4 linked regions of the Schizosaccharomyces pombe genome follow. The protein of the gene in region 1 binds, or shares a complex with, the protein of each later gene. Each region holds a gene or a part of one and is shown in the gene's direction. Other genes may lie near its edges.

Region 1 (5,806 bases):
TATAGTAGTTTCCTTGATAGAGTTTTGCTTTTTCTTGGAATTGCTTTGCATCCTCTACAAAATGATTTTCCTTATTGTGCTGCATGTGAATGTGTGCAAGAAAATTGGTGTAATGGATTAGTAAACAAACACATTACAATCCACTTCATATTGCCTTGCGGCTAACCAAGTGATTCGGTGTATTTAATCACCGAGTTTTTTTTTGTTTATGCGAGGCAATTTTTGATTTTATTAAGCATATAGGTAGAATTTCATATTCAATTATTTATCTCGATACAAAATACATGGTTGAAGAGCGGTGTCCTTTGCATCAACGTTTAATATAAAAAAATAAAAATTGTATTGCTCTTGAGCTTATCCTTGAGAAGTTGAGTAATTAACAAAATTGTCTAGAAGTTGGAAAAATATTAAGCAAACTAAGTTAAACTTCCTCATGTGTTATCAATCCATTTTTATGCTGACAGATCGTCTTCTACAAAAAAACTGGCAACAATAAACTGGGAGGTTATTGAATTTTTAAACATCGAGCCACTAATTATTTATCTTTTGAAAGTCTTATTTTTTATAATCTGCTAATTATATTCTTTTGTTTATGGTGTTTACGCTATCATAAACTAAGATACTGTCAATTTTAGACCCCACTATCTTCCTTAGTGAAGTTGTTTAATTTTGTTAAAATGCATTACGAGTAATGTATTAAGAAGTTCTAAAAATCATCAGCCTTACTAGCAGACGCTCAATCAATAGAATTAGCATTATACAGCTAGCTTACCTTTACAAACAAAATGAGCAATTTAGAGGGTAAGTAAGTAATTTTTTTGATAATTGATTAACCTGAAAGCATCTCTGTTTCAATTAAAGGTATTTTCTTAATTGAAGTTTGTTTTTAACAATGCGTTAGTTTGCTGCAAAGTCGCTGAATAAACAATCACTTAAAGCTGCGAAAGAGGAGCGTGCTGAACGGGAAAAAGTGAAAAAGGTTTGTTTGTTGTAATGATTGCTATTTCCAAGCATGTCACTATCAATGAATTTTTTTACAGCTCATCTATCAATTGCTATTGTAATTCTTGGTGGTTTTGCAGAGTCTTGGTTTTGTCGATTATTCCATCTTCATATGATTTGCTAGATAAAAATTTTTTTTTACTTTTTGGCGTTATTCATTACTAACTGTTATTACCTAGGCTATCACAAAAGGCAACTCAGAAATTGCCCGCATATATGCATCGAATGCAATTCGGAAGCAGCAAGAATCCCTTAATTTGCTCAAACTTTCTTCAAGAATAGATGCGGTTTCAAGTCGTTTACAGACTGCTGTAACTATGCGTGCTGTATGTTAGCAATTTAACGTGGCATACTTATTGACTATTTAGGTGTCGGGAAATATGGCAGGTGTCGTTCGGGGAATGGACAGAGCTATGAAAACAATGAATTTGGAGATGGTGAGTTCCTAATTCTCGTAGAATGAGTTTTTTTTCAAATGTTTCTGACCCACAGATTTCACAAGTCATGGATAAATTTGAAGCGCAATTCGATGATGTTAATGTTCAAACGGGTTATATGAATAAGGTAAGTTTCCTTGATTAATCATATTTCAAGACTAGAACTAACACTATATAAGGCTATGGGATCAGTGACTGCTGTCGATACACCCCAAGAAGATGTAGATTTATTAATGCAAACGGTAGCTGATGAAGCTGGTTTGGAATTTAACCAGAATATGAACAATAATCTTTCGGTTCCTGCTGCCAGTGTTCCTACTCCCGCCGCTCCTGTAGAAGATGACAACTTACAAGAACGTTTACGTGCTTTAAGGTCTTGATGTATAATTCCAGTCCAAATAACAAAATTTTTTTGCTGCATAAATGAAAGAGTTTAATTACGCACAATTTATTCAGCTGATACGGAAGAAGTTAATTAGATGATTAAGGATTTATATGTTTTTCACTGATATTTGAAAAACAAATTATTTTTCTCTCGAGGGTCATTTATCCCGCGGTTTATTTCAACCAAGCATGCATCTCTAATGGTCTAAATAAGTAATAGTACAGTAAATATTTAACGTAACTGTAAATATTCAGAACATTTAAAACAAATCTTTTTTTTTTTAAAACTGACTTTATTTAAAACTTAAGTATGAATGATTGTTTATATGTTTTTATCTAATCACGACAATTCGCAACTTGGGCATAAAAGTTTGAATTGTAATAAATATGTACACAGGTTAATGTAATTATCAGCAAAAAAAAATTGTTATTGTCATTGTCGGAAGCTTTGGCTTGTTATTCTAGCCTATTTAATACCAGTAATTCGACTCGCTCTTGATCACCATCCACCTTCGGTCTCGCGATGATTGCTTATCTGGCATTTATGGAAGATTGATAATCGTAAATAAGTTTATTAGTTGAGTACACTGGATTTTGTTCTATTCAGCTGAATAAAGAGAGATTACAACCGCCAATTTAAACCTTTTGAAGTAGGTTCGCAAATTGTCACCATGCAAGCAGAATTCAAGTCTAGTATCAACGACTTCCTGGAACAGTTACCAAATCATGCAAGGCTTTACCAAAAGCCAGCTGCTTGTCTTGCTGTGTTTCGTTTATTGCCAATTCTAGCTAGACAGTATGTCATGTCTATGCTTTTCAATCCTATGCCAGTAGCACTCTCAGATTTCGATTTATGGATCAAACTTTCGAGTAAAGTTTATCAATCTGAATCCTTCAACAAACTGGTTAGGATGCATATATTTCAATTTGATGGACAATATATCACTCTAAATAGTGAATTTCGCAAACAATTTATAACTGCTCTGACTGGAGGGTAAGTTTTATTGAATTTTGAGTATAAACTAATTAAGCTTTTTAGAGGAAATCACAATTCGTTTGGCGTGCCATGTACCGATGAAGACAAGCACTTGGTGACGGTTGATTTTCTTGACGCATATGCGAAAGAAACTTGGGAAACAATCTTGCACTTCATGGTAGGAACTCCGGAAGCTAAATTTCCTGGAGAAGGTGTCTTAAGTCTATTAAAGCGGGGCGGTTTAATGTCTGGTCCAAAAAACCAGCTACGTATTACCCGTGCCGGTTTTCAGTTTCTGTTACAGGATATAAATGCTCAAATTTGGACGTTACTTTTGGATTATTTAAAACTATCTGAAGACACGCATATGGATCCTGTTCAGGTTTTGCACTTTTTATTTATGCTTGGAAGTTTGGATTTGGGGAGGGCATACTCAGTGGACTTCTTAACAGATACACAACAAATCATGCTTGAAGACCTAAGAGAATATGGATTAGTTTATCAAAGAAAAATTACTTCCAAGCGTTTCTATCCAACCAGACTGGCAACAGGTCTGACAACTGATTATCGCTCATTGCATGGAAAGCAAAGTGAAAATGATGATGATAAAGGTTTTATTATTGTAGAAACAAATTACCGATTATATGCTTACACAAGCTCCCCATTACAGATTGCCATCATCGGATTGTTTGCTAACTTAAGGGCGCGTTTTTCAAATCTTGTTGTCGGTGTGATAACTCGGGATAGTATTCGTCGTGCTTTGATGAATGGAATTGCAGCGGAGCAAATTATTACATACTTGACAACTCATGCTCACCCTCAGATGAGATCGAATGTTCCTCTTTTACCTCCTACATTAGTAGATCAAATTTATTTATGGGAATTGGAAAAAAATAGACTTCGGGCTACTCCTGGAATTTTGTTTCGCGATTTTCTTACTGATTCTGGCTTCGACCAAGCAGTAGAGTACGCAAAAGAACTCGGGGTTTTGGTTTGGGACAGTTCCTTGAAAAGAATGTTTTTCATAACTACGACAGGCGCCCAGCCCATGATCGCATACTTGAAAAGACGAGCTGTCAAATGAATATTTTTTGGATGGTTCAAAAGAGAAGTGGTAATTAGAAAATATTAAATTAATCTCAAATCACTTGTAAGTAATTTACTGGTGTCAATAAACATATATATAACATAAGCTCAACATTAGCCATGTTAACTATACGCGTGTTGGATATTTATACGAAATTCAAGTTTTAATGATGCAACTCTTTAACGTTCAAATTATGAATTTCTTCTTCTCGTCATTAGAAAAAAAAAATATCCGTTATTTGAATAATCCAAACAATATTCATATTCTTGTATTTAATGTTCATTTAATTATATTACCATTTGTAATAATGATTTGGTGATATTACTATAGGCAGGCAAATGGCTTGTAAATCCTTACTAACTACAAGTATCGCTGCTGCGAGTAGCCAAGAACTGCCACAACATAACCAATTCACCTGAGGTACTTACTTTTACAGTGATTGATACCTGTTAAACGAAGTTTTAAGACACAATGGCAATTAATAGCTCTGGTACTAAGGTGCTTTCTTTCGTTCGTTCTGTTTGGCAGGATTTTGTAAATACCAATGGGTTTGATGCTCATGTAGTCAGTGATATACAAATTATAAGTGCAGTTCCAGGATTTGTAGAATGCTCTCTGAAACTGCAGAAGCATCACCTAAATCGTATGGGTAATTTGCATGGCGGTTGTATTGCAGCACTCACTGATTTGGGAGGAAGTTTAGCATTGGCCAGTCGAGGGCTTTTTATTTCTGGCGTGTCAATAGATATGAATCAAACTTTTTTACAAAGTGGTGGTACTTTAGGTTCATCAATTTTACTGCACGCAAAGTGTGATCGATTAGGATCAAACATTGCTTTTACGAGCGTTGATTTTTTGACATCTTCTAATGAGGTCTTTGCTAAAGGTAGGCATACTAAGTTTGTTCGAAATGCTTTAGGAGATCCTAGAAATTGCCTTGACTTAGCCGAAGATTAATTCTGCCTATATTTTATATCTTTCTCTGGCTATTCGCTTTTTCTGCTCTGTTTTACTCGCTAATGTTGATATGTTTTACACGATTTTTTCAGTTTTCATAAATTTAGGAATTAAAATAAGGGATTTTGCTATCCGTCGTTATCTATTGTAAGCTCATGTTATGGTTCGGAACATGCTCGCGTTTTAGTTTACAGTCACCGGTTTCCTTTTAATAACGAAACTTGGGCTGAATTCGCTCATGAAAACACTTAGTCCGGAAGGGAGTTTATGGGTGTTTGGTTATGGCTCTTTAATTTGGCATCCGCCTCCTCACTATGACTATAGTATTCCATGTTTTATAAAAGGTTATGTTCGCAGATTCTGGATGCGTAGTGAGGATCATAGGGGCACTGTTAACTCACCTGGTCTCGTTCTCACCTTGATACCTTATGAAGAATGGAAGCAATTTTCTGACTGGTCTTTCACCCCGTTTGATGAAGGATGCTGGGGTATGGCATTTCGCATTCCTGCAAAATATGCGACGCAAGTGCGAGAATACTTGGATGATAGAGAAGTCAATGGTTATACCGCCCATAGTGTTCCCGTTTATGCCCATACCGGTGATGAAATTCCGGTTTTGGAGAATTGTCTCGTTTACGTGGGTACTTCAAAGAGTCCCCAATTTCAGCCCTCAGACGACCTAACTCAAATGGCTAAAATCATTTCTACACGAAGAGGAAAGAGCGGAGATAACTTTGTTTATCTATTTGAGCTTGCAAAATGTTTACGCCATCTGTCTCCTGAATCAAAAGATATTCATGTTTTTGAATTAGAAGCTGAAGTTAGGAAGCAAATGCAAAAAACTCGATAGCCTTCTTTTTAATTTGATACCCATAGATGATTTTTTATTCGGTTACTAATTCTAGTCTTTCTTGAATCTCCATACTTAAACATATTTACACTCACTTTAATTAAAGAATATGC
Region 2 (5,857 bases), on another chromosome or scaffold:
AGCTCATAACTGAACTGAGGAACGAGGTTCAGCAGTAGCTCTATTTATAGTATTCAGATAATATTGATCTTAATAGATTATCATTAAGATCAATCTCCATATCGTATCATACATGGTACGATATATAATTAGAACATGTGACATATAGTGATACTCAACGTAGTGTATCATAGCGTAGTGTAGTATTGCTGACATGGTATTCCATGTAGTGTATTTTGATGCGTAACGTAATGTTTAATAGCGATTTTAGTGTAGCTCACTGTCTAGCAATTAGTGTTGCATACTTTTCAAAGTATGATAAAACGAAGCAAGGCATCGCTATTATAGCGTATTGGTACGCAGTACCTAATTAATGCTAACTTGTGCGTAAATTGATATTGACAGCACAATGATTCAATTTCATTCCTTAACAAGAGCCATCTCTTTTTGTTGGATGCTTAGAACGCGTGGATTTTTAGGCTATTCAAGCGTTTGGTTTTGATCTATTTATCTATTTTATATTTTAATTTCGCATTTTATTTTGCAATGTTCAAGTTGAAACTCAAACGTATATAATCACTATTGGTAAAAGGCTCTTCAAAATGCCAGACGAAAAGTTACCTCAATACAATGAAGTTTGGAATGATTTGGAGAAGGGTTGTTTACATTCTTGTCCTTCATATTCAGTCAATAATCATGTAAACAATCCAATTGTCAAACAAAACTCAACATTAACACAACCATCGTTACGAAAAAAAAATACAATGGCTGCACCTGCTAGATTAAGAAAGCGTTCGGAAAATGTGCGACTTACACAAGCTAGATATGCGATATTTCATATCTTCCTTCCTTTCATTCTTACTTTATTGCTTTATCATAATTTTTATAATTATTTCGATCAGGCATTGGCGGATCTTAATTCTGTGGTTAAATATGTTATTGAAACTATAGTGTTAATATTTACATACGTGATGACAGTGATTATTGTTTATTGTAAGTTTTTGAGATGATTTGAATTCATGACTAACGATTTTCTAGTTTCATTTTCGTTAATTAAATTAGCGTTTGAAGAAGCTTATGTTTATGCACCGTCTGTAGCTAAAGCGAATGAAGGTCTAGCTAAAGCGATTGCAGGCCTAGCTAAATATGTAGCTAAAGCAATTCAAGGTTTGGCTCATATTATTTTATCCTTACTGTTGTTTATTCTCGGGCTCGAAGTAATAGAACAAGATGAAGAGACTGGCGACGTTGAAATGTCGTCTATGCGAGGCCAAGCAATTACCACAGAGCCAGCAAGTGACAATACAATGGCTGAGGAAACCGATTGCAACACTTCTAAAGATGTAGAATCGGGCAGCAACTAAAAGTCATGGCTAGAGAAAAAAATCAAGGGGCTGCCAACAGTTGCGAGGGTTTTTTTTATTTCATCACTAATTTTCTTACTTTCTTGCAAAAGTCACTTTTCTCCTTTATTTCTATTCCTTGTATTATTATCTTATATGCATCATCACTTAATCATTTTCGATGACAGTCATCACTATTTTTGTCTCTGTTATAGAGCAAACACGATGTGTATTTGTGGTGCTAGGAAAATTCATTTAACTAATGAATCTGTTGTCAATTATAGATTAATCATCCTCTTTATTGTTTTACCAAATTGATATACAATCCTTAATTGTGACTTTGTAAGATTTGCGACTTAAAAAATTGTTCAATTAAGACATTACTCAAAAGATGCAAAGTAGTGATTTAACCTTTTTTTTTGTTGGATATATACGAAATAAGGATTCCATTCATCATTCTCAAGTTTTGGAGTTTTAAAAACCAGTATATACAGCAAATATAAGTTGAAATTTGTTTCTAAGACAAATAAAAACGAAAAAATCGACCTTGGAGTAGAACGAGAACTTCTTAAACAATGCGATTTCGCAATTCCTAGTCAGTAGCCAATTTCTGTTCGAGAAAATCAATTAAATGAACTCTTTCGTCCTGCAAACCATCCAACATTCAGCCTAAGCGAAAAGTAATTATTCTTCTTATGTCCATATCACTTGTAGCTTTACATAAAATATTGGCAATTACGCAGTTTGCAAATTTCTAAGTCTCTACTATATTGCAATATGCAGTTTGTACAAATAACCGAGCCATAAATAATTTTATAAAATACGATATATAACTCATCCTTAAAGAATGAGGAGTACAGATTTATTTTATATTCTTCTTTTACTTTCATAATTTCCTAAGTTTTTTCAAATAACAGAAATAGTTGTATACAAATTTCATATCACAAATCAAAGACTGATAAACACGAATTAACGCAGCATAACGAAATTCATTATTATATTTAACAAATAATGGTTGCGCTCCTTGTCCGTATTGTCTTCGTGTAAATGGTCTCTTGTTCTAGTACTTACTTAGTCTTACCATTTTACTGGTATGCCCAGGAGTCATTGCTTTTTAAAAAAATAAAACTAAAAATAATAAAAGAAAGAACTTTCGCTCATTGCATGTAAAGCAACTCGACGCGACTATTCAAATTACCAAAAGTTCACTGGGTAAAACGTGACTTGAAGAAATACATTCGCTTTGAGTTCTTTAGTCTGTAGAAACCAAGGAATAGAATTTGTGCAATATTCATTTATCTAATTATCAAATAGCGTTCTGGCATAATACCTATGCTCGGTTAAAATAACACTCAATGAATGAGAACCAAAAAAGTTTTGACTCTGACAAGTCGGAAAGCGAGGATGAACAAAAAAATGGAAGAGTTAAAGTAAGAAGCAGGAAAACTGACGATAATGAGGGTTATACTTGGGAAGGTGAATATCAGCGTTCTTGGGATATCGTACAGGAGGACGCAGAGGGTAGTTTAGTAGGCGTTATCGCTGGGCTTATTCAAAGCGGGAAACGTAAAAGGTATGGCGTATCAAAATTGGTTTTCTTATGTTCTTCATTTGTTTGTTAGTTGCCTATGTTGGGCATTTGGAAACATATTAGTCTTTTATAGCATCGATGAACGGTATACTAACTTGTCAATCTGATTTAGACTTCTTAGAGATACAACTCCGTTACAACGAGGTATTATTAGACACATGGTCTTGGTGTTAGATTTGAGCAACTCTATGGAGGAGCGTGATTTTCATCATAAGCGGTTCGACCTTCAGATAAAGTATGCTTCTGAATTTGTTCTTGAGTTTTTTGAACAAAATCCTATTTCCCAATTATCGATTATAGGCGTAATGGATGGAATCGCTCATCGGATAACTGATTTGCATGGGAATCCTCAATCGCATATTCAGAAGCTTAAATCTCTTCGAGATTGTAGTGGAAACTTCTCTCTTCAAAATGCTCTCGAAATGGCTAGAGCTTCTTTATCACACATTGCTTCCCATGGCACTAGAGAAGTCCTTATCATTTTTGGTTCCATCTTATCATCAGACCCTGGCGACATTTTCAAGACGATTGATGCTCTGGTTCATGATTCTATTCGTGTCCGTATCGTTGGTTTGGCTGCTGAAGTCGCCATTTGTAAAGAAATTTGTAATAAAACTAACTCATCTACGAAAAATGCCTACGGCGTAGTCATCAGTGAACAACATTTTCGCGAACTTCTACTCGAAAGCACAATACCTCCTGCTACTGATTCGGCTAAAACCACTGATGCTTCTTTGGTAATGATGGGATTTCCTTCTAAGGTCGTTGAGCAATTGCCAAGTCTTTGTGCTTGCCATTCAATTCCGTCTCGTGGTGGGTTTCATTGTCCTCGTTGTAAAGCAAAAGTTTGTACTTTACCGATCGAATGCCCTAGTTGTTCTCTCGTTCTAATCCTTTCAACACATCTTGCTCGATCTTATCATCATTTGTTTCCATTGAAAAACTGGAGCGAAATTCCTTGGTCCGCAAATCCAAAGTCCACTCATTGCTTTGCGTGTCAGTTACCTTTTCCGAAGCCGCCGGTTTCACCGTTTGACGAATCTACTTCATCGATGCGGTATGCATGTCCCTCGTGTAAAAATCATTTTTGTTTGGATTGCGATGTTTTTGCGCATGAACAACTTCATGAGTGTTATGGATGCCAATGCTCCGGAAATTAAAGTTTCTTTTGGTATATTAATGAACGCATTTATTTATAATAATTATTTTAAAATACTATTATGCTACTTATTCACAAATATGTAAAGAGATATATATTTCAATTTACTTATTTAAAGAGATCGTTGCTTAACTACCTTATCCGGAAGATAGTGAAAATTTGATCTATTGATGCTTCAGTAAGTGTTAGAGCTGTATCATATATAAAATAAAAACTAATTAAAATGTGGAAATGAATATATCCCTATATTTACAGATCAGAGGTCAGTATTGCAGTTGTAGTTGATTACAGAGGAAACCTGTTTTTGAGAATTCCATTTCTCGACTAAATAAGCAACCTTCTGACCGTACTTGCTTCCCCGAAGAGAAACCATGTGCTTTTTTATATGCGTAATGACAAGGTTTTTCTCAGCTGGTTGACCAAGTTGAATTATTTGCTGAATTAAATAGTTGCCATACTGATCAGATGCAATATCGATTAAAGGCTGCCTTGTTCGGTCAACTCTCGCGTTTGTAATTTGTTTTAGATATAAGGAAATGAAATTTTTTGGGCCAGACTTAATTGCTTTTTCAATGACCTTAGAGGCAAATTGGTCAATACTAAATTCCACTGCACGATTCAATAATGCATCAATGACTCTTTTCAAATCCTCTCCTTGTCCGTTTTCTACCATGTGTTGCACCACCCAGTTTCCCCATTGACCACGTGCAATACCGTCTAAATGAAAAATGATTTCCTCAATGCATTCACGCTTATCTTTCTCTACACAGTTCTCAAACATATTTTGGACTACGAGACTTCCATTTTCCCCGACTGCAACTTCGTGCCATTTTCCTCTCAAGGCATTGTTTACGCGATTCATGACATTAACTGGATACTCGTACCATTGCGTTTCAAACAATTTTTGCCAGACATGGCATGCATAGTGGTGCATTATTGTAACATCAATAGTGAGGAATAACTCGTCCATCATAGCCAGTTTAATATCTTCTGTCACATTATCTATTGCCTTTTGAACAACGTGGCATCCGAAAGGATCTGTTGCCAATTTTAACATATTTCCCAACATGGCAGATCCCATTTGTCGAATTTGTGGGGCAGTGCCATGCTCAAAACATCTTTGAACTAAGAAATTCCCAAAGCGGTTAAGCATCAGAGGATGGATTTGAGATATTATGGAATCAACAATGTTTTGTTTCATATCATAAGAAGAAATTTTCAGCTTCTGTTGAAGGAATATCGAAGATTGCTGATCATTGCTTACAATAATTTTATCAATTATAACATTCCAATCATATACAGCATTCCTTTCAGAGATTTTTCTGTATCGGGCAGCTGGTTCTCTTGAAGAAGTAGACTCGGGGATGACAGATGGGTTCGAGTTATTCATAGTTTCCCATATGGACTGTAAACTGGCGGCACTATTTACTCCTTTCGAGTACGAAGAACTCCGAGAAGAGCTGAGTGAGTATGGCTTTAACGTGCCAGACGTATTCGTACTCAAGTTATTTGTGGATGCCGAGAGATTCACTTCATTCGACCAACTATCACGGTTCTTAACTGTATAAGTTCCAAGATCGACATCCTCTGGAGATAATGGTGTTGACGGTTTAGAATTGCTATATCGAACATTGGTACGGATCGATGGTAATGAGTTATGGGATTTTAGCTTGCAATTGTCCGATTGGAAATTAGCTAACGAAGCCTCATAAGGGTTAAAATTCGAAGAAGATATCCATGGTGAAACTGAAAAACGAAATTTTGGATCTCCGTTTCTATTAGAGT
Region 3 (7,254 bases), on another chromosome or scaffold:
TTTTTTTTTGCAACTTCCTTACCGGCACGCAAGGTCCGTCGCACTTCTGGACCAGGAGTAAACTGCTTACTTATTGAAAGAACAAAGAAAATTTTAACCTTTCTTTAAATACGCTTTCTTTTCTTTTTCTTTTTTCAGGCTATTTTTTTGCTCCTCCCGTCATCCCTAATAGCTAGTCGGCTTTAACGATTATTATTTTAGGAGATGCTAAAGTGCAGATTGACGGTCTTGTTCGTAATTTGCAATCAGTCTATGTCATGATCCCTGACCTCAGTACAGTGGAAGCTGTCTGGCTGGCAAGGGTAAAGGCTAGTAAGTACTATCAATTATGTATGTCAGTTGTGGATGGGGAATTATTATTGAGACTTTTTACAAAGTGTCAAGCTCGAGATTTGGCCATTACATGTCGGTAAAGCAGCTGAACAGCGATATGCCGTTCATAAAAAAGCGTCAGCACAAGTGAAATCAAGTGTCATGACATGAAAGTCTAATCGGTTATTTGCAACATTAACCGAAACTTGTAGAAAATGCGCTCTTTGGCAGTTGAAAAACGCAGACATTACAGATGCTATAAATACATAGTATTAAAAACATAATAACAAATAACAATAACATGTTAATTAATCTTGCTATACATAGTAACATCTATAAAACGCAGTGTAAACAGAAATCATTTTGACATGAATTTCTTATGTAACAAATGAATCTTCCATCTTTAAAGGGAAATCCGATCGCTGTGTTCTCAAGTTATCGACTCCTTTTTCTCATAGCAAAGGCTGAGCAAGCAATCAAAGCTTTTGCTCCTAGGATTATCTAGGACGATGCAACTTCAACATTCGTTGAACGGACCGCATACCCATTTCCTAGGTTCAGGATTTAAGCTTTGTATTGTGTTGTGTGGTAGTACAATTAAGCAAAAAGGAACCGAACCGTTGGGGCTGAATATTGTTTTTCACTATCAAACAGGTAATAAGATATATATGAAGCAAGCAACTTATTTGTAAGCCTAGCTAAATGCTTTATCAATATAAACTCGAGGGAAATATTGGTAGCATAGTATTCCTTTAACTTTTCTTTTTTTTTAAATTAATTTTGATTTCACTTTTTAGTTAACGAAAAGAATTATTTTTTATTTAATAATGGCAAGCGGAGTTGTTTCAATCCAATATATTACATTTACCAGTAAAAAAATTCGATACTTTCCCTCCACCGTGTTAAATTGCTGCATTTTTTTGCATGTTACGGGATGTAAGGAAATAATCTCAAACCAGTCATCCTTACTTTGGTTTCCTACATTTAATGAGCCATGCCATCTATCCTCTATTTCAATACCTTCCTTCCCATTTTTTTCTGCTAAATCGATATGTTGTTTTTTAAATACTCTTTGTTATTAGTACTATATATGCACTATTGATTTTGCTAGCAATGTATTGTATTATTTGTATGTTTTGTAGAAAATAACCTACTCGCCAACCCAAAAATACCAGTTGTTTCCGACAGCGTCATTTATTCATCACACTTTTCCGAAAATCGGCTTTACAAGTCCCGAGTAAAAGTGAATCAAGAAACAGCTACCATGAATTTGATCAACGATTTTGAGTAACCACAGAAAAACTCAGTATGGCCCATTACGGTTGGAATGGGTCGTTGTTATGAATGCCATTTTCTTGTTACCGAGCGGCAAACTCCAACAGTATATTGTTTTGTAGCATCGCTAATGAATGATTCGTTAAGTTTGTTTTCGTGGAATTTCATGCTCTTCTTTTATACCCGAAAGCCGGATACTCGTCGATATACTAGATGTGTAGTGAGTTAATTAATTAGCCAGAAATTAGTGAATGGGAGAGATTTTTAAAATATCAAGATTGATCATTACTAATCATCTTTCATCTTTCACAATACTTGTCATCGATGATTGATAGAGATTGCCAAGAGACATTAGGTAAAATAAAACGTAACAGTTTTGACGATCTGCTGATTTGCTTGATGTCAACCTTGGGTATGTTTTCATTAAACATGATTGCTGATGGGTTTCATAATTCGTGAAAAATTGATAAAGCACTTTTCCTTATCATCTACACATAAGTGAACAGGCAAATCAATCCGTATTGTCTCCTCAACATACGGAATGTCATTAAAACCGGTAAACTGTACTAACCGGTGATTACGGGATAATAAAAAACCACTTCATTCATTTCAAAAACTGTTGATATAGTATTCTGTATGATTTCAAGAAGATAACTCTTCGGTGACTTGCTGTTTATTGCTCACCTGGCGATTCTAATTCCTTTTATTTTTTATCCTGATACGTATGTATTTGTTTTTCCCTCTTTAGAATAATATTCATTAAGCTTGAATAAGCGGTTATTAGTTTGCAAATGATTCAGCAGCTATATGTGAGTTTGCCCTTTTTCACTTGTCTACAGAGTCGGGAATTGACTTGTAAAACAAAATAAATGGAATATTGCAAATGTATTCTTTTTGCCTTGTGTTTATTTAGGAGTAGTATTGCGGAAACTTGTTTTCAGAAAACAAAGTAGCGCTTATGCTCGGTAACTACGAAAATACGAATTTTTTTTCCAATAAACTAGTATTTATTAAGCAATTGCATCTTCCATTAACCATGTCATTTCCATCAATGTATAGTTGTATGTACACCATGTATTTACGAATATTATCCAATTTAACGTACTTTACAGTATTTTGCTTATAAATGTTTACCGTACCAACTCAGCGTTCTTCATAATCCAGTTCTATATGCACTACAAATATAAAGCAGCCACTGTTAATTTCAGGACTCATTCTTTAAGCTTGGATCGACAAGTAGTTTCTCCTGAGATTCTCACTGTAAAGTAGCTCACTTAAACCTTAGGTCAGAATTATTTCTTGGTTCGTTTTGTTTTACCCTCTTCCATCCCATGTTTATTTATTTATCTTTGTGAACTTATTCATATTTGTGTATCAGTGATTGACGACTAAATATTGAACCAAAGCAGAACCTACCTCATTCTTATAATACCCATAAAAATTTATTTCTCGCTTTATTCATTTCATTTTTATGAAGCGATTGTTAAGCGATCTTTACCCACTATTATTCATCAATGCTAGTTCATAATTCTTTTGTTTCAACTTTTTATCTTATTATTTAATTCCTAAATTTTTTTTTGGTCCAATAGGCTGTCATATACTCAAATTAATTTCCTCAAAGTCAACGGATTACACCCATAATGAAGTTCTATATTGACGATCTACCTATTCTGTTTCCTTATCCACGCATCTATCCCGAGCAGTATCAGTATATGTGTGATTTGAAACATTCTTTGGATGCGGGAGGCATTGCGCTCTTAGAAATGCCTTCGGGTACTGGAAAGACCATTTCTCTTTTGTCCCTTATTGTTTCATATCAACAACATTATCCTGAGCATCGCAAGCTCATCTATTGTTCACGTACCATGTCGGAAATTGATAAAGCATTAGCTGAATTGAAGCGTTTAATGGCGTATCGGACTTCACAGTTAGGATATGAAGAACCATTTTTGGGTCTCGGACTAACCAGTCGCAAAAATTTATGTTTACACCCTTCTGTTCGTCGTGAAAAAAATGGGAATGTGGTAGATGCCCGTTGTCGCTCACTTACGGCGGGTTTTGTGCGGGAGCAAAGATTGGCTGGTATGGATGTTCCTACTTGTGAGTTCCACGACAATTTGGAAGATCTTGAGCCACACAGCCTTATATCTAACGGTGTTTGGACCCTTGATGATATCACAGAATACGGCGAAAAAACTACACGATGCCCCTATTTTACTGTACGTCGTATGCTACCGTTTTGTAATGTTATTATTTATTCGTATCATTATTTACTAGACCCCAAAATTGCTGAACGAGTTTCTCGAGAACTCAGTAAAGATTGCATTGTTGTTTTTGATGAAGCACACAATATTGACAATGTGTGTATTGAGTCTTTAAGTATTGATTTGACAGAATCTTCTTTGAGAAAAGCTTCGAAGAGCATTTTGTCTCTTGAGCAAAAAGTCAACGAAGTAAAACAGTCTGACTCAAAAAAACTTCAGGATGAATACCAAAAGCTTGTTCGGGGCCTTCAAGATGCTAATGCCGCAAATGACGAAGACCAGTTTATGGCGAATCCCGTTTTGCCTGAGGATGTTTTAAAGGAAGCTGTTCCTGGAAATATTCGACGAGCCGAACATTTTATTGCATTTTTGAAGCGTTTTGTAGAATATTTAAAAACAAGGATGAAAGTTTTGCACGTTATTGCTGAAACACCAACTTCTTTTTTGCAACATGTTAAAGACATTACATTTATAGACAAAAAGCCGCTTCGGTTTTGCGCTGAGCGACTCACTAGTCTTGTTCGTGCCTTACAAATTTCACTAGTTGAAGATTTTCATTCTTTGCAGCAAGTAGTAGCTTTTGCGACCCTTGTTGCTACTTATGAGCGTGGATTTATCCTAATTTTGGAACCCTTTGAAACAGAAAATGCTACAGTTCCCAATCCAATATTGCGGTTTTCCTGTCTTGACGCCTCAATAGCTATTAAACCAGTTTTCGAAAGATTTAGGTCTGTGATTATCACGAGTGGTACTTTATCCCCCCTCGATATGTACCCCAAGATGTTGCAGTTTAATACTGTTATGCAGGAATCGTATGGAATGTCACTTGCACGAAACTGTTTCCTTCCTATGGTAGTTACTCGGGGTAGCGATCAAGTAGCTATTTCTTCAAAATTTGAAGCCCGTAATGATCCTAGTGTTGTTCGCAATTACGGTAATATACTGGTTGAGTTTTCGAAAATTACACCTGATGGCTTAGTCGCATTTTTTCCAAGTTATCTCTACCTTGAAAGTATTGTTTCTAGTTGGCAAAGTATGGGTATTCTAGATGAAGTCTGGAAGTATAAGTTGATTTTGGTGGAAACACCAGATCCTCATGAAACAACTCTCGCCTTAGAGACTTACCGGGCTGCTTGCAGCAATGGCCGTGGAGCAGTATTGCTGTCAGTCGCTAGAGGAAAAGTCTCAGAAGGAGTGGATTTTGATCATCATTATGGTAGAGCAGTAATCATGTTTGGTATTCCGTATCAGTATACTGAGAGTCGTGTTTTAAAAGCACGGTTAGAATTTCTGAGGGATACGTATCAAATTCGGGAAGCAGATTTCTTAACATTTGATGCCATGCGGCATGCTGCCCAATGTTTAGGTCGCGTTTTGCGTGGAAAAGATGATCATGGAATTATGGTGTTAGCAGATAAACGATATGGTCGGTCTGATAAGCGTACAAAATTACCTAAATGGATTCAACAGTATATAACCGAAGGCGCTACAAATTTAAGCACTGATATGTCCCTCGCTTTGGCGAAAAAATTTTTACGAACTATGGCACAGCCTTTCACTGCGTCTGATCAGGAAGGGATTTCTTGGTGGAGTCTTGATGATTTGTTGATTCATCAGAAGAAAGCATTGAAGTCTGCGGCTATAGAACAATCCAAACATGAGGATGAGATGGATATTGATGTGGTTGAAACTTAATAGAAGCCATTTGTAAAATACTTTGATTCTAATCATCTTTACTAAGGCAATCCAAAACTCATGAACACAGCGATGAAGATATTTGGAAGCGAATGGCTAACTTTTTTGTAGGTGTGGACAATGTATGTATCAACTTGTATTCGAGAGTTGTATAGTGGACATTTCAATCGTCATCACGATACGCATGCTACTTACGAATTGTTTTAAGATCGCAGAGCAGAGAAAAAATATTATTTACACTCAGTTGGCAATTAATTTGCGAGTCGCTAAATTCGAAGTACTTTAAAATTTTTTTAGAGACTGTGTTCAAATAAAATCGGTTTCAGTTGTTGTAATGCTTCTTAAATTTTCCATCCCATCAATAACAATCCAGCGTTTCAAAGAGTGATTATTGGCAATTTCATGCTGCTATGGAAATTAAGCTTACATTAAGCGAGCTAGTTAAAATACGTGATGCAGTAATTGTAAGCCTAGTTATATAAACAAAACATCTGTTTATCATTTAGATACATAAAACAAAAGTTTACATATTCATAATATATTCTCATAATCTAAAAAATTTCCTTGATAGTTTTATGTCGATAAAATTAGTCTCCCATACTTAGTTCTAAATAAATGAACGTTTTGGGGTTGTACAACTGATTCATTGCTGTATTCTATGTAATATATAAATTTCTTGAAAATAAAAAATCTTTTGGTTTTACGGATTCACGGTTGGCTTATACGTAATTGCCAAGCACATATAAGATCAATGATGGTTTCTTTACCAAACTACTGTATAAAAAAATTACTCTAGCACAAAAAGGATACCGCTTTCAGGAATTCTTAAATATAGAAAAAAAAATAAGTGTAGCTTATTGCAAGGGTTGTCTCTAGTCACGTTGGGGTAGTCAGAATCCTGTCATAACTACTGCTTTGTATCTTTGATTAGCAAAGTAACTTATTGAATACAGTCAGCTGTCAAATTACAGAAAAAGAAGCAACTTTAATAGTATCTTAAATGATATAATCTTCGATACAGGTTTCTTTGAGAATTTGGCCAATAGCTAGAAATGTTTAAACGACGTCGAAATCCAAAAGGTCTTGTGTTGAATCCTAACGCCTCTGTTAAAAGCTCTGATAATGATCATAAGGAAGAGTTAATTAACAATCAAAAAAGCTTTGAATCCAATGTCGAAGCATTTATGGAGCAATGTGCGCATATGAATCGACGCCCAGCTTGGATATCTGATTTGGACAATAGCAGTTTGGAAGTAGTGAGGCATTTGGGAGAGGGAAATGGTGGGGCTGTTTCATTGGTAAAGCATAGAAATATTTTTATGGCTAGGAAAACAGTTTATGTTGGGTCAGACTCTAAACTTCAGAAGCAGATTTTGCGAGAGTTAGGTGTTCTACACCACTGTCGTTCACCCTACATAGTCGGTTTTTATGGAGCTTTTCAGTATAAAAACAACATTTCATTATGTATGGAATACATGGATTGCGGATCGCTTGATGCAATTCTTCGGGAGGGAGGTCCTATTCCGTTAGATATTCTAGGAAAAATTATAAATTCTATGGTGAAGGGTCTCATTTATTTATACAACGTTTTACATATCATTCACAGGGATTTAAAGCCTAGCAACGTTGTCGTCAACTCTCGTGGTGAAATAAAGTTATGCGATTTTGGAGTTTCAGGTGAACTAGTTAACTCGGTTGCTCAAACGTT
Region 4 (5,287 bases), 2.4 Mb from region 1:
TGCATATATGAACTTGTCATTTGACCCCAATTTCGTGATCTCGCTACAAGTAAGTTCTCTTGTGGGAGCTAGGTCAAAGCTTCAAGACATTCCTAAAATTACACAATTGATCGAATCAAGGATTCGACAATGGTTTACTAATCGTTGTGTTTCTCCTCAGTTTCAACAGTAAGTGAGAGTATGAATTGATTCATACTAACTAATTCCCACAGGATCGCAATTCCCAACCTATGGCCAACCTCTGCAAAAGAAGGACATGCGAGGTCCCATGCACCTCAAGAGGAGTCATCTAATGAAGATTAAACATTCTTTTGACGTAATTTTCGGAAATTTTTTTTATCTATGAATTTTAACGATAATTTATCTCTACCAGATTCCACGAAATATATTGATTATGAAGTCGAAATAAAAATTTTAAGCATTAGCTTGCGAAATATGGCGGGTAACTTCGATTCGGAATCCAGCCGTTCTTCTCATATTCCATCCACCACCTATTGCATTCGAATTCTACGTTTTCCGAACACATTTTTTTAACAATTCGTGATAAATTCCTCGCATCATCTATTCCGCGATGCTCGCTTCCCTCAAACTGAAGACCCCAATGCTCTAGCATTCCATTAATATTTGTGCGTGGAACGCGATAAACGTCTTTATAGAAAGACCTAATATCTACGAATGGTCCTTTGATCCAGTCAGGAATTGGCATTTTATCATATTTGAACTGATAATACGATTTGTTAGCGAAATGTGAGACAAACCGAACAAAATTATATTAACACTTACTTGTTTGGCTAAAAAGGACGCCATATCCCAAGGACCATCACAAGCCCAGGCCCAATTTTTGGGCTGTGTTCTGGGTACGGACTTTAAGGGTTCTATAATCTCAATTTCATCAACTGAGGGAACTAAAATATTGGAATGTTTCCGCAAGAATATGAATAGTTCTTCCAAGACATCTGAGAAGATAGGCGCTTTATCAACAGTGCATTGTTGAATTCCTGTCAGTGATTTACAATAGTCAGACAAAGTAGGATTCATGGATGGGCGAACGTAAGAATGAAATTCGTCGATTATGGATTTTTCTATTAAATCGAATAGAAGACATGGTAATTCTATGATCTCGTTTTCGAAGCTAAATCCGCAACCTTCTTCACATGTAGCTTCGACGTCCACAATTAGCAAGTATCGTCTACAAGTATTCAGTTACTGTTAGATAGAAAATGTTTAAACAATTGATGATTTAACCCTACAAACAAGTTTTGTTTTCATTACTAGTAGAAAACTTTTGATAACGTTCTTGTTTTCGTTTTTCTTCAAGACGTTTTTCACGAAATTTCCATCGCCGTTTCAGTTTTTCTCTTTATACTGTGTAAATAATTAATTTATATAAACTCTGAGAAAACGGACTAATTGCTTCTCAATTTCAGTAACATACTTGTTTCCATTCGTACTCAACCCAAGTTCTTGTAGTGCTATACGAATTTCTTCTACCGTAGACGGTGTTTTTTGGTTCATCTCGTCACATGGAAAAGGCCAAACTAAAATCTGCACTGGCGACTCCATAAATTTTTTATATTTTTGGAATTACTTTACCTTTTATTTCATTAGATAAACCATTTCATTATAATGGAATATAAATGTTTTTGAAATAACACTGTTTTGTTGGCAATCTTTTTTTGAACCCTACACTTTTTCTGGGTTGTTGTCTACCTGTATTAAAGTTGGGAAAGCATTGAGAAAAAACACATTATAAAAAGAGGGATGGATGAATTTCAAACTTTGAAACAAAATGCCTCGTGGGATATATCTGAAGACGCAAATGATACACCCAGTTTGCTTGTAGTTATATTAGACGCAAATCCTGCCTCATGGTACTCCCTTTCCAAAAAAGTGCCTGTTTCCAAGGTACTGGCAGATATTACGGTTTTTCTAAACGCACACTTAGCTTTTCATCATGATAATAGAGTTGCTGTGTTAGCTTCACACTCGGACAAGGTTGAATACCTATACCCTTCGATTGCACCTGAGCAAAAAGTCGCAGAAGTAGATCCTACCAAGGAGGCAAATACGTATCGAAAGTTTCGTGAGGTAGACGACTTAGTTTTATCTGGGATGAAGCGACTCATGAGTTCGACTGATAAAGTTTCAAGAAAAACGATGATTTCCGGAGCACTATCTAGAGCCCTTGCATATATCAATCAAGTTCAAAATAAAAATACTCTTCGTTCTCGAATTCTAATTTTCTCATTAACTGGTGATGTTGCTCTTCAGTATATTCCTACTATGAATTGTATATTTTGTGCTCAAAAGAAAAATATTCCAATTAACGTTTGCAACATTGAGGGAGGCACCCTGTTTTTAGAACAAGCAGCAGATGCCACAGGAGGGATTTACTTAAAAGTTGACAACCCCAAAGGCTTACTACAATATCTCATGATGTCGCTTTTTCCGGATCAAAATCTTCGAAAACACTTAAATACCCCAAACCAAGCGAATGTTGATTTTCGAGCTACATGTTTTTGCCACAAAAAGGTTTTGGATATTGGCTTTGTTTGCTCAGTTTGTCTATCAAGTAAGTAGTAACAAAGCTTTACGATAGGCTTTGAACATTTGACCTTTTGCTAACCTCTTTAGTATTTTGTGAACCACGGGTGCATTGTTCTACTTGTCATACCAAATTCACGGTAGAACCTATGTCAAAAAAATTGCACACTTGATAATTCGTTATATTATTATTAAACTATATATTTCTTTGTCTCACACCGGGTGTACAGCTTTATCATATTTGAAACCCTGTTTTTCATTACCTAAATCTCCTTATCCTGGTGATTTGTACAGTCTAGCTCTTTTTTTTTGGCGATTTTTACTTTCTGGCATTTTGATACACTTGAAATGTTAACATTTTTCGGAAGGATCAAACTATTTCCTTAAGGGGCATCCACAAGTAGAAACTTAACGTATAAGCAACTAATTCATTCCAACGTACCCTATTATTATTTATTTCCTTAGAGCTTCTTCTATTATTTCTTCAAGTTGCATTGGCTTCTTTCTTTTCCAAACAGTGCAGTAAGACGAAATTATATACTATTCTTTAATTAATTTACTAACGAATCATTAATGTTGAAGATGCTGACAGAAATTATTTCACAGGAACTTTCCTTTCTACTGTTTATAATCTATTGCATCTCTAATGTTGGTGCTTGATCATTTTAACAATGGCTTTTTTTAAGCTTTTTTAATCAGAAAAGTTATATTACATTGAGATCTATATGAATGCAATTTATAATGAATTGGTTTGATTATTGTAGTAAGGTTACGAATCTTGGTTTTTACATGTAACTCAACCTCTGAATTTCTGTACTGAGCAATAAAAGCGCGGATTGATAATTCATACTAATAGAGCCGGTTTACTTTTATTTGCCCGAATATTCTCAAACTCACAAGTGACGACAAGCTTGAAAAAAAAAAAGTATTTTCTTAAATTCGTTTATTCTGCAATCAGATATTCATAGTTTTTAAAAAAGGAAAAATAATAAAAAGGTTGTAATATATTTGTTCTAAATCTTCAGATTTCAGACGTAAATTAGTCTGATTAACCTTAGGAGCATTACAACCATTGCCTAATCTGTTGATAGATTCAATTACAAACTTCTGACATCCTGAATGTCTATTTTCCACTAATTTTAGAATTTTTGATTGACTGTGCTTTTTAACAGCTCTTTCCCGACTATATAGCGTTTTATTTCAGCAAGACCTCAACAACAAATTTATCATTAACCTTTACGCATAACTCAAATATATTTTGTGCATTTTTTTGTCGGTACTTTAACAAAAGGTCCTTATGTATGTTTTTGAAATAGTTTATTTGGGGTGAACAAATGTTTCGAACAACAAAGCGATATTTCTGCACCTCCTTCAATCGCCGGAAGAATGTCGTAGTGATAGGAGGTGGACACGCTGGCGTGGAAGCCGCTGCTGCTGCTTCTAGATTAGGTGCGAAAACTACTCTTTTAACAAAGTCCTTCGACAATATTGGACAAATGAGCTGTAATCCAGCTTTCGGTGGGATTGGAAAAGGAACACTAATGCGAGAAATAGATGCCTTGGGTGGTGTTGTCAGTGGTGTCTGCGATGAATCAGCAATTCAATTTCACATGTTGAACCGATCGAATGGACCAGCTGTATGGAGTCCCAGAGCACAAATGGATCGGTCGGTCTTCAAAAAAAATATGCAAAAAACTATTTCAACTTATAGAAAAAATCTTCAAGTTAGAGAAGGCGCGGCCGTCTCTATTAATGTTTTGACAGAAGACGATGGTAAACAAGTTTGTGATTCAATTGTTCTTGAAGATGGCACTGCTATTCCTGCCAGTTGTATAGTCATTACTACTGGTACTTTCTTAGGAGGACAAATAAATGTTGGTTTAACACAGTTAGCTGCTGGTCGATATGGCGAGCGACCTTCATTGCCTTTGAGTAAATGTCTTAGCAATTTAGGTTTTAAAATGGGTCGACTAAAAACAGGTACACCTCCCAGATTGAGCTCTCCCATAAATATATCAAAAATGACAGAGCAGACAGGTGACGAAATTCCAGAAACATTTAGTTTTTTAAATTTGGAAAGGGATTTTTCACCGGCATTGCCACAACGTTCTTGCTACAGAACTTATACAACTGAATTGACGCATGAAATTGTTAGGAAAAATCTCGCTTTTGCTCCCCATATGCTTGCTGGTGATATTCTTTCTCCAAGGTATTGCCCGTCATTGGAAGCCAAGGTTACAAGATTCCCTCACAAAGCAAGACATCTTATTTGGCTGGAACCGGAAGGATTGGACCCCAATTCTTGGTGGTATCCCAATGGTCTCAGTAACTCAATGCCTGAAGAAATTCAGCACAATATAATAAGGTCTATTCCAGGCCTGGAGAATTGTAATATTGTGAGACCAGCTTATGGAGTTATGTATGATTATGTTATCCCCACCCAACTAAAGGCAACACTGGAAACAAAAAAAATTCAGGGTTTGTACTTGGCCGGTCAAATAAATGGAACGACGGGTTATGAAGAAGCAGCAGCGCAAGGTATCTTAGCTGGCTTAAATGCAGGTTTAAGTGCTCTTGGTCGTGAGCCAGTAGACATACCGAGAAATACAGCTTTGCTTGGAGTAATGGTCGATGATCTTATTACAAAAGGTGTGAAAGAACCTTATAGGGTGTTCACTTCGAGAAGCGAGTATAGGTTAACTACACGTGCTGATAATGCTGATTTAAGATTGACTCCATTAGC

The links.
Region 2: tfb2 (region 1) and ssl1 share a complex: the UniProt entries of both Schizosaccharomyces pombe proteins name them as parts of the 7-subunit TFIIH core complex.
Region 3: tfb2 (region 1) and rad15 share a complex: the UniProt entries of both Schizosaccharomyces pombe proteins name them as parts of the 7-subunit TFIIH core complex.
Region 4: tfb2 (region 1) and tfb4 share a complex: the UniProt entries of both Schizosaccharomyces pombe proteins name them as parts of the 7-subunit TFIIH core complex.

The regions. Positions count from the first base shown.
Region 1 is NC_003423.3:3,751,576-3,757,381, forward strand, and holds tfb2 (transcription factor TFIIH complex subunit Tfb2), read left to right. Parts: upstream 1-2,324; 5' UTR 2,325-2,494; coding exon 2,495-2,817; intron 2,818-2,862; coding exon 2,863-3,883; 3' UTR 3,884-4,142; downstream 4,143-5,806. Other genes in the region: protein smp2, read right to left, coding at 1-85; ESCRT III complex subunit Did2, read left to right, coding at 786-801, 842-861, 902-979, 1,182-1,328, 1,371-1,439, 1,495-1,566, 1,619-1,819; the13 (acyl-CoA thioesterase), read left to right, coding at 4,358-4,843; glutathione-specific gamma-glutamylcyclotransferase Ggg1, read left to right, coding at 5,082-5,693. UniProt on the Schizosaccharomyces pombe protein: Component of the general transcription and DNA repair factor IIH (TFIIH) core complex, which is involved in general and transcription-coupled nucleotide excision repair (NER) of damaged DNA and, when complexed to TFIIK, in RNA transcription by RNA polymerase II.
Region 2 is NC_003421.2:381,796-387,652, forward strand, and holds ssl1 (transcription factor TFIIH complex subunit Ssl1), read left to right. Parts: upstream 1-2,395; 5' UTR 2,396-2,677; coding exon 2,678-2,895; exon of another isoform or gene 2,896-3,025; coding exon 3,026-4,073; 3' UTR 4,074-4,252; downstream 4,253-5,857. Other genes in the region: SPOM_SPCC1682.06 (uncharacterized protein), read left to right, coding at 582-972, 1,018-1,343; meiotic pumilio family RNA-binding protein Mpf2, read right to left, coding at 4,329-5,857. UniProt on the Schizosaccharomyces pombe protein: Component of the general transcription and DNA repair factor IIH (TFIIH) core complex, which is involved in general and transcription-coupled nucleotide excision repair (NER) of damaged DNA and, when complexed to TFIIK, in RNA transcription by RNA polymerase II.
Region 3 is NC_003424.3:661,555-668,808, forward strand, and holds rad15 (transcription factor TFIIH complex subunit Rad15 ), read left to right. Parts: upstream 1-2,793; 5' UTR 2,794-3,227; coding exon 3,228-5,546; 3' UTR 5,547-6,093; downstream 6,094-7,254. Other genes in the region: MAP kinase kinase Byr1, read left to right, coding at 6,599-7,254. UniProt on the Schizosaccharomyces pombe protein: ATP-dependent 5'-3' DNA helicase, component of the general transcription and DNA repair factor IIH (TFIIH) core complex, which is involved in general and transcription-coupled nucleotide excision repair (NER) of damaged DNA and, when complexed to TFIIK, in RNA transcription by RNA polymerase II.
Region 4 is NC_003423.3:1,316,968-1,322,254, reverse strand, and holds tfb4 (transcription factor TFIIH complex subunit Tfb4), read left to right. Parts: upstream 1-1,678; 5' UTR 1,679-1,761; coding exon 1,762-2,572; intron 2,573-2,634; coding exon 2,635-2,717; 3' UTR 2,718-3,185; downstream 3,186-5,287. Other genes in the region: ERMES complex subunit Mmm1, read left to right, coding at 1-168, 213-303; double-strand siRNA ribonuclease Eri1, read right to left, coding at 422-721, 784-1,189, 1,251-1,358, 1,436-1,515; ips1 (GIDA family tRNA uridine 5-carboxymethylaminomethyl modification enzyme), read left to right, coding at 3,879-5,287. UniProt on the Schizosaccharomyces pombe protein: Component of the general transcription and DNA repair factor IIH (TFIIH) core complex, which is involved in general and transcription-coupled nucleotide excision repair (NER) of damaged DNA and, when complexed to TFIIK, in RNA transcription by RNA polymerase II.